Linked DNA regions of Macaca mulatta. The protein of the gene in region 1 interacts with the protein of each later gene in a biochemical or structural test. Links are inferred from orthologs where the notes say so. Each region holds a gene or a part of one and is shown on either strand. Other genes may lie near its edges.

Evidence for each region. The genes of interacting proteins can lie anywhere in the genome.
Region 2: the proteins of BLNK (region 1) and CD79A form a complex in vitro, tested with the Homo sapiens proteins (2 studies listed by BioGRID). The link is inferred for Macaca mulatta from reciprocal best matches to the Homo sapiens genes BLNK and CD79A.

What each region holds. Positions count from the first base shown.
Region 1 is NC_133414.1:108,279,671-108,284,172, reverse strand, and holds the start of BLNK (B-cell linker protein), read left to right. Parts: upstream 1-1,398; 5' UTR 1,399-1,569; coding exon 1,570-1,616; intron 1,617-4,502. UniProt on the Homo sapiens protein: Functions as a central linker protein, downstream of the B-cell receptor (BCR), bridging the SYK kinase to a multitude of signaling pathways and regulating biological outcomes of B-cell function and development.
Region 2 is NC_133424.1:52,914,500-52,919,001, forward strand, and holds the start of CD79A (B-cell antigen receptor complex-associated protein alpha chain), read left to right. Parts: upstream 1-1,606; 5' UTR 1,607-1,827; coding exon 1,828-1,906; intron 1,907-4,341; coding exon 4,342-4,502. UniProt on the Homo sapiens protein: Required in cooperation with CD79B for initiation of the signal transduction cascade activated by binding of antigen to the B-cell antigen receptor complex (BCR) which leads to internalization of the complex, trafficking to late endosomes and antigen presentation.

The DNA.
Region 1 (4,502 bases):
AAGAAGAGGCACAGGAGGGAAGAAATCCATCCATGGTTTCCACCTCTGCCATTGCCACTCTTCCTTCTCCTCCTCCTCCTCTGTCTCCTCTTCCTCTGCTTCTTCCTCCTCCTCCTCCTCCTCTTCCTCCACCTCCTTTCCCTTTTCTGTCTTCTCCTCTTTCCCCACTGTCTTCAGTCAGATCTTGGGTCTACAACAGGAGAGGTAACTGAGAGCCCTTTACTTTGTCGTGCTGTGTATTCTTCTGACCCAGGAGAAGACTGGTTCCCTTGATAAATGTTGGAAATGTGTACTTTATTCCACAAGAGTGAGCAGGGCATTCTCGATGGCTGCAAAAAAGTATGTCCAGGAACAAAAAGTTCCTCCCATTTTCTTCCTCCCTGACCCTAGACTGCAGGCTGCTCTTTAAACAACAGATAAATCAGCATGTTTCAGATTAGGCAGAAGGAAATGTCAAGTCTTCCAGGAGGGAAGTAGAGTTCTCTGAATACGTTCAGCCCCTACAGGTATGGTTCCCTCCTCCCAACCTCACCCCACCTGTCTGAGCTTGAGATGGCCTCGTGTCTGGCGTGTCACTGGCTGTGATGAGCAAGCGGTGGACAGGACAGGAAGAGGCAAATGCAAGGAGGGGAGTGGCATTCTGCTTTTAGGACTTCAGAATGGCCTGATGTAGGAATTGCACTCTTGTGAAACTGTTAGATTTGTTCTCATCTGACTTTTGGGTACATCCTGGTTTGTTTGAAAGCATCTGGCTATCGGCAAGGTAACTCCTGACTCTACCAGGCAATAAGGAGGCTGCACATCTTACGACAGAGTTCATCTCCCCTTTCCTGGGTCACCCATCCCTACCCGCAGATGAACAGAGAATTGCCCATCCCATTTTAAATAGAGCTCCAGAAAAAGAGAGACTCTAATTCTCCGAGTAAACTGTTACCACCATGTCACTGCCACCCTGATATTTATTTTTAAACATATTGCTCGCATCAGGGGCGGGGAGGGAAAAGCACAAAAATGCCATTTTTATATAATGGTTCTATAAGTAGAAAAAGCTTATCCATGACTTTATGCAAATAAGCAGAAAGTCTCCAAGAGAGGTTCAGATGGACTTGATTACTCTGCTTTTCCTTGAGCCCAGGAAGTTCCCAGTTATAGCATGCACCTGCTGGAAACAGACTAGATGTGTTTGGGACAAACAGGAAGTAGTGACCAGCCAGAAACTTGTCCCAACCTTGTTACAAATCTGATTGTAAAAGAAAGCAGCTGGAAAGAAATTTGCATGCCCAGTAGGTTTCACTATTAAAGTTTACAGAACGTGGAGTAATCATCAAGCTGGCTGGCTATCCAGATCACATGATTATGTAGAAACATGAAACTTGACTATGTGCTCGGGCAAGTTTTACTTCTCCCTAGAGCAGGGGTGTTTGCCAGCAGCCTGCACTCTCAGAAGTCAGACTTGAGTGGCCGGAACCCTTGAGACCAGAGGCTTACCATGCTGCTCCTTAGGAGGGCCAGGAACTGCTGACGTGACCACTGGACACTTATTCGTGTCTCTTACAATTACCAAACAGAATGGACAAGCTTAATAAAATAACCGTCCCCGCCAGTCAGAAGTTGAGGTAAGATTTTCCCCACCCAATACTTACCCTTCTTCATCTCCTTTTTTTTCCCCCAATGCTCTTATGGCATCTCAGAAATACTGAAATCCTGGAATGCTTTGCTAGTTTCCAGTGGGTGGCACTTACTATAGGGAAGTGGACTGAGCTTTTAGGGAAAGCATTGGGTGGCACTTGCTATAGGGAAGTGGACTGAGTTCTTAAAGAAATGTGTAGGAACAAGAGAGACTTGCTTTAGCTACCTCTTACAATAAAGTATGAAGCTCTGGAAAGATAATAAAACAGAAATACCAAGGGCTTAGATTCTACTGAAGGTCAACGTTCAGAGTCTGAGTGCAACCAACTTTTCTAAGGAAGGGTTTCTCTAAACTGAGTCCTCACCCATTTTATTGCAGGTTACTATTTAATTTTAAGGATAGCTGTAATCATTTGTTATTCATTGTTTTATTGTCTCATTTATTTTGTGGGTGTATATTACAAGTGTGTTTGGGGGGATTAGATCTGTCATTCCAATACCCTCATGTCAACGTAACAATGATCTATAACAAGCCTCTTAAAAAGGAATAAACCAGAAGCGGCCCCACGGGCATGAGTCAAGGAGCTATGGAAAAGACAACTTCCCCAAATTTTGCTTTTGAAGGTCGTCTTTTTGTCTCATTGTAATGGCATCATGGCTTTCAGAGACTGGAACTTTTAAAGTTCAGGGAGTGGGTTTTTTTCCCACATTTTTTAACAGTTTTTAAAAAATTATTATTATACTTTTAAGTTCTGGGGTACATGTGCAGAAGGTGCAGGTTTATTACATAGGTATACATGTCCCATGGTGGTTTGCTGCACCCATCAACCCGTCATCTACATTCAGTATTTCTCCTAATGCTCTCCCTCCCCTGGCCCCCAACTCCCTGACAGGCCCCGGTGTGTGATGTTCCCCTCCATTCAGGGAGTGTTTTCTATTCTGACTACATATCGGAACTGAGCCAAATGTTCAGGGGGTGATGTGACACGTGTAGCAGACAAGTAATCCCAGATAACAAGGAGCCAGAGAATTGAAGCTTTTGAGACAATATTTAAGAGAAAGTCTGGAATTGGCAGAGGGACAGCCCTTCACACTAGAATACAGGTCTTATGCCTAGGAGGTGCTTGGTAAAAGGTAATGTGATATGCACCAATGATCTGGGATCAGTAGGCAGTATCAACTGCATTCAACCATTTCAAGAACATGCTGTTGAGTTCTGCTGTGTGATCAGCACTGACGGGACAGGAAGGCACCTCATTCTTGCCCTTGGTCTCAAATAGCTACACCCTCATAAGGGGCAGGGATGATACAATAGAAGCTGTAAGTGACTGAAGGAATGTAAGAAGAGAATTAGAGTAGCAGGAGGAGGTTTCATAGAGAAGATAATTTAAGAGGTAGGCTTTGAGAGGTGGGTAAAATTATAAAATACTGGAGAATTGGAGGAAACATGTATGTGCTGGGAGGGAGGAAATACAGAGGCTGTCACTCAAAGCTTAACACACATACGGTCCATTTGTGGGATGGTGAGGAAAGTTTTCTGTCTAGCGGAAACTATAGAGTAGGGCATGTAGGACCTGAAGGTCCTGGTATAATTGGACACATAGGGCGGGTCCAGGTTGCAAAGGGTGGTGAGGGCCCTAACCATAGGGAGTGTTGGAGAACAGGTTATGCTGTTAGTGATGTCATGACAGCAGGCTTAAAGGAGTCTGGTAGGATGTGTTGGAGTGAGAGGGACACTGGAGGCAGGGATCTGTTGGGAGGGAGGAGCGCTTAAGTAACCCAAGCATCCAGGGCTGTAGGCCTGGACTTGGGGCACAGCAGTGAGAAGGAAGAGGGAAAGAGAGGGAAGAAAGACGTGGCAAAGAAACTAATGAATGAACAGGAGGATTCCAAATGTTTTTTTCAGACATATATCATAATGTAGAACTATACAGAGACGTATTCTCTTTCAGGGAATCCAGATGGGAATTTAAGTAAAGGTGCTAGAACTTAAATCATTTTATGATTCCTCCCTTTGGGACAAAGTCCAGCTTGATCACAGAGCAGCTGATGGGCAATATACAACCATAGATTATGGAATAGAAAACCAAAATTATACCACGGATAATCATATACTACACTCATCTGCTTACATAAAAGTAACTTTTTTCCCACTTGATCACTCAGTTGTCTTTATAGAATCATCACGTTGTGATAAAATGTACCCTGCTGACGTGGAACTTTTCAAAGAAATGAAATTGTAAATTAAATGGGCTCGAAGCACCATCTTAACTCTTTTCCATAATTAGATAGCTGGGATGCTGAGCAGTTAATAGATGAAATACTTGCCTCCTGTGATTTGTGTCCTCTATCCTGACTGGTTGACATCAATTCTGGAGGTTGATTAACAACATAATTATTTGGCACCAGACGACAGCAAAAGTGGACAGTTATGTTTATACTCTTAGGCTTAGGTGAGAATTTGCTCAAATTCTTAGCCACAAAAATAGAAAGACAGTGAGTGTTCATCCAGGGAACTGAAAGGAATGACCTTGATCCAGGGAGTATATTCCCAGGACTGAAAAGAAAGTAGAGAAGAAGGAATTACTAGAAGGTGAGGGGAAGCAGAGTCATCCAAGGAAAGGAGGTCATGCAGGATTGGAAGGAGACAAGGAATTCTCAAAATGAAGGAGAAAGGGAATGTTCTAGATGAACCCATTTGGGGATGGGTCATCACCTTGAGAGTTTCTGCTGTATCAGAATAGAGATAGGCGAGATGGCTAAGTTGCTTGTGACCACAGAGAGGTGTGAGCACAGATTCTCATGTTTTTGCTCCCACCGAGGCACTGCTACAGTAGGCTTCTCTGTTAGTTGGAGTCCATAGACACTCAGAG
Region 2 (4,502 bases), on another chromosome or scaffold:
GACTGTATGACACCAGCAAGTAACAACCTCCCCTCTCTGGCCTCAGTTTCCCCATCTGTAAAATGGGGGATGGCCTACCTTGCCCAGTCATGGCAGGTCAATATAAAACAACTTCTGGCTGTGTGCAGTGGCACATGCCTGTAATCCCAGCACTTTGGGAAGCCGAGGCAGGAGGATTGCTTGAGGACAGGAGTTCAAGACCAGCCTGGGCAATATAGCAAGATCCCATCTCTCTAAAAAAAAAAAGAAGAAAAATATATGTTATTATTATTATTATTTGAGATGGAGTTTCACTCTTGTCACCCAGGCTGGAGTGCAATGGTGTGATCTCAGCTCACTGCAACCTCCCCCTCCTGGGTTCAACTGATTCTCCTGCCTCAACCTCCTGAGTAGCTGGGATAACAGGCATGTGCCACTACATCCAGCTAATTTTTTTTTTTTTTTTTTTTTTTTTTTTTTTTTTCTGGAGACGGAGTCTCGCTCTGTCGCCCAGGCTGGAGTGCAGTGGCCGGATCTCGGCTCACTGCAAGCTCCGTCTCCCGGGTTCACGCCATTCTCCTGCCTCAGCCTCCCGAGTAGCTGGGACTACAGGCGCCCGCCACCGCGCCCGGCTAGGTTTTTTTTGTATTTTTTAGTAGAGACGGGGTTTCACTGTGTTAGCCAGGATGGTCTCGATCTCCTGACCTCGTGATCCGCCCGTCTCGGCCTCCCAAAGTGCTGGGATTACAGGCTTGAGCCACCGCGCCCGGCCAATTTTTGTATTTTTAATAGAGATGGGGTTTCACCATGTTGGCCAGGCTGGTCTCAAACTCTTGACTTCAGGTGATTCTCCCACCTCAGCCTCTCAAAGTGACTCTTGCTCCTGCCTGCCTCCGTGAGGCTGTAGACGCCCCTTCTCCTTCGCTGGGCTCCCTACAGCCCCACATTGGCCCAGCTTGGCACAGATACGATTTCTATAGGCATCTTTCCTGGCTCCCCTACCCTCTGCCTCCTCTTCCCTTTCCCTGAGCCCCCTTCCCTCTGCCTGTGCCCTCTCTGCAGCCTCCACATCTCTCCCCACCTCCCGCCACCATACCTGGCCTGAGCGTGAGCCACCATACCTGGCCTGTTTTTTAACAAAGAATTCCAGTAAAGAGCTGATCGTGGCTCTAACTCCTGGAATACCAGAAACACCATCTCATATCACATAATGAGACAGGGAGACATTCTGGTCCTCATCTCACAGATGAAAAATGTCAAGGTTCAAAGGATAAAAGTGCCCACCTAGTCACACGGGTACTCAGCCACAGGTCAGCCTGCCTTATTTATTCTTCATGAGCATTTATAGTGACTAACATTTACTGAGCGCCTACTATGGGCCATTTCTGTGCATGCAACAACCCCTTTTAAGTCCTTGTTTCTAATCAAGAAGCAAGGAAATGGGGTCAGGGAAGGGACAAGGTTTCCCCAAGTCCAGGCAGGGGCAGAGGTCAAGCTCAGAACCATCACCTGCCCACAGCACATGCCCAGGACTCAGGTTCCCTAGGCTTCCTTCCAAAGGCTCAGCAGTGACGAGCCAGCCCTTGAACCAGCCTCTTCCCCCACCCAAGCAGCCACCTCTCAGGGGAATTGTGGCCACCACAGGTGCAGGGAGCAGTTCCTCTCCACTCACAGCCTGAAGCCTACCCGGCAGGGGCTGTCCCCAGGCCCAACAAGTAAAGGGCCCAGCAGCGAGGGCCACTGGAGCCCATCTCCGGGGGGCTGGGCAGGAAGTAGGGTGGGGTTTGGGGTAGGGATCTGGTACCCGGGGACTGCTGCAACTCAAACTAACCAACCCACTAGGAGAAGATGCCTGGGGGTCCAGGAGTCCTCCAAGCTCTGCCTGCCACCATCTTCCTCTTCTTCCTGCTGTCTGCTGCCTACCTGGGTATGTGGCCAAAGGGCAGGAACTGGTGGGAGGTGGGGGAAGATGTGGAGGCTGCAGAGTGGGCACAGGCAGAGGGAAGGGGGCTCAGGGAAAGGGGAAGAGGAGGCAGAGGGTAGGGGAGCCAGGGAAGATGCCTATAGAAATCGTATCTGTGCCAAGCTGGGCCAATGTGGGGCTGGAGGGAGCCCAGTGAAGAAGGGGCGTCCACAGCCTCACGGAGGCAGGCAGGAGCAAGAGTCACCTCCCCCACCTCCTGCTCCCCACAGGCCAAAATAAGGAACTAAAGTTGCTCTTGACTGAGCACGAGGGCTGGGGACAGGAAGGGGACTTGAGGGTAGTAGCATTCAGCGTCTGTCAAGGGGAGAAAAAGCTTTATCTGCCTTAAACCTCAGGTGCCTCTCTGTGTTGGGAGTCCCTTCTGAGCACTGGGGGAACAGATGTCTCATAGATTCCTCCTCACCCGCTCAAGGACAGCTGGCAGGGGCTGTGGCCACGCTAACCCAGGAGTTCAGAGAAGAAGGTTCCCCACCCAAGCGGACACTGGGAGCAAGGATTGGAGCTCACGTCTGAGTCTTAAGCCCATGATGATAAGGGTGCTCGGCCCCTCTCCCCACCTCTTCCTCCTTCTCTCTTCCTCACTTCCCTCCTCCGCCTACCTCCAGAAGAGGGGGCCGGCCATGTGGGAGGCCTGGCTGAGAGCTGGGACTTCCCAGAGGAGCCCAGATTGGACACTGCAGCCAGCCTGAGCAGCCCGGTCTCACTCAGAGACACCCCCAGTCTCCACCCCGCTCTGACCCCCTTCGCTCACCAGCAATCCAGCCCGAGGACTGAACTCACCCCTGAGTTGACACATACAACTTACAGAGAATGAGGGCCAGGCACAGGGTCACAGGCCAGGGCAGGCCACAGACTGGCTCCTCAGCCCAGGCAGGGAGAGGCCAGGGAGCCATGAGTTTGAACCCAGTGCCACTCCTGACTGCCTGGTGATGCTGGCAAACCGCCAGCCCTCCCAGGGCCTCAGCCATCCCTCCTGTAAAATGGGGCTAAGGAGATAACCTACTTCTAGGGTTCTGTGAATGAATACACAAGAAAAAGCGCAAGGTGCAGGGCCTGGCTGAGGCTGGGGTGCAAAAATAGACCGGGAAGGCTGCGGGAGGAGGGGATGCCTGCACTGCTTCTGGAAGGAGCTGTCTGGACAGCGGTCCTCCAGTGCCTTGAACAAACATCCAAAATCCAGAGAGTTCACAGGGCCCAGAGCACAAAGTGGGTATGTGGGAGGGGGGCAAGAGATGGCGCTGCAGAGGTGAGAAGGGCCTCCCAGGGGTCTCACCATCCCAGGGAGTCTCATTCTCCTCCCCCAGGATGTCCTCACCCACCCCAACCAGTTCTGTCCTCTCTCCCTCCCCAGGGGCCTCTTCACTTTCCCGCATCCCCCTCTCCCCAGGATGCATCAGCCCCTGTCAGGGGCTGTCCCTCTCCCCCCCAACCCAGGAGAGTTCTCACCCTCCTCCCCTCCCCACCCAGAATAGTCCTCACCCTCCTCCCCCCCCCACCCAGGAGAGTCCTCACCCTCCTCCCCCCCCCACCCAGGAGAGTTCTCACCCTCCTCCCCTCCCCACCCAGGCATGTCCTCACCCTCCTCCCCCCCAACCCAGGAGAGTTCTCACCCTCCTCCCCTCCCCACCCAGAATAGTCCTCACCCTCCTCCCCCCCACTCAGGAGAGTCCTCACCCTCCTCCCCCCCCACCCAGGAGAGTTCTCACCCTCCTCCCCTCCCCACCCAGAATAGTCCTCACCCTCCTCCCCCCCACCCAGGAGAGTCCTCACCCTCCTCCCCCCCCACCCAGGAGAGTTCTCACCCTCCTCCCCTCCCCACCCAGAATAGTCCTCACCCTCCTCCCCCCCACCCAGGAGAGTCCTCACCCTCCTCCCCTCCCCACCCAGGAGAGTCCTCACCCTCCTCCCCCCCCACCCAGGAGAGTCCTCATCCTCCTCCCCCCCCACCCAGGAGAGTCCTCACCCTCCTCCCCCTCCACCCAGGAGAGTCCTCACCCTCCTCCCCCCCCACCCAGGAGAGTTCTCACCCTCCTCCCCTCCCCACCCAGAATAGTCCTCACCCTCCTCCCCCCCACCCAGGAGAGTCCTCACCCTCCTCCCCCCCACCCAGGAGAGTCCTCACCCTCCTCCCCTCCCCACCCAGGAGAGTCCTCACCCTCCTCCCCCCCCACCCAGGAGAGTCCTCACCCTCCTCCCCCCCCACCCAGGAGAGTCCTCACCCTCCTCCCCCCCCACCCAGGCATGTCCTCACCCTCCTCCCCTCCTCACCCAGGCATGTCCTCACCCTCTTCCCAGGAGTGCTGGAGCTGCAGGGGCCAGGGCTGGGGGCATGTGTCGCCATCCCTAGTCCCTGACCCACCCACCCTGCCTCTCCACAGGTCCTGGGTGCCAGGCCCTGTGGGTAGATGGGGGCCCAACATCATTGATGGTGAGCCTGGGGGAAGAGGCCCACTTCCAATGCCTGCACAATGGCAGCAACGCCAACGTCACCTGGTGGCGCGTCCTCCATGGCAACTACACGTGGCCCCCTCAGTTCGTG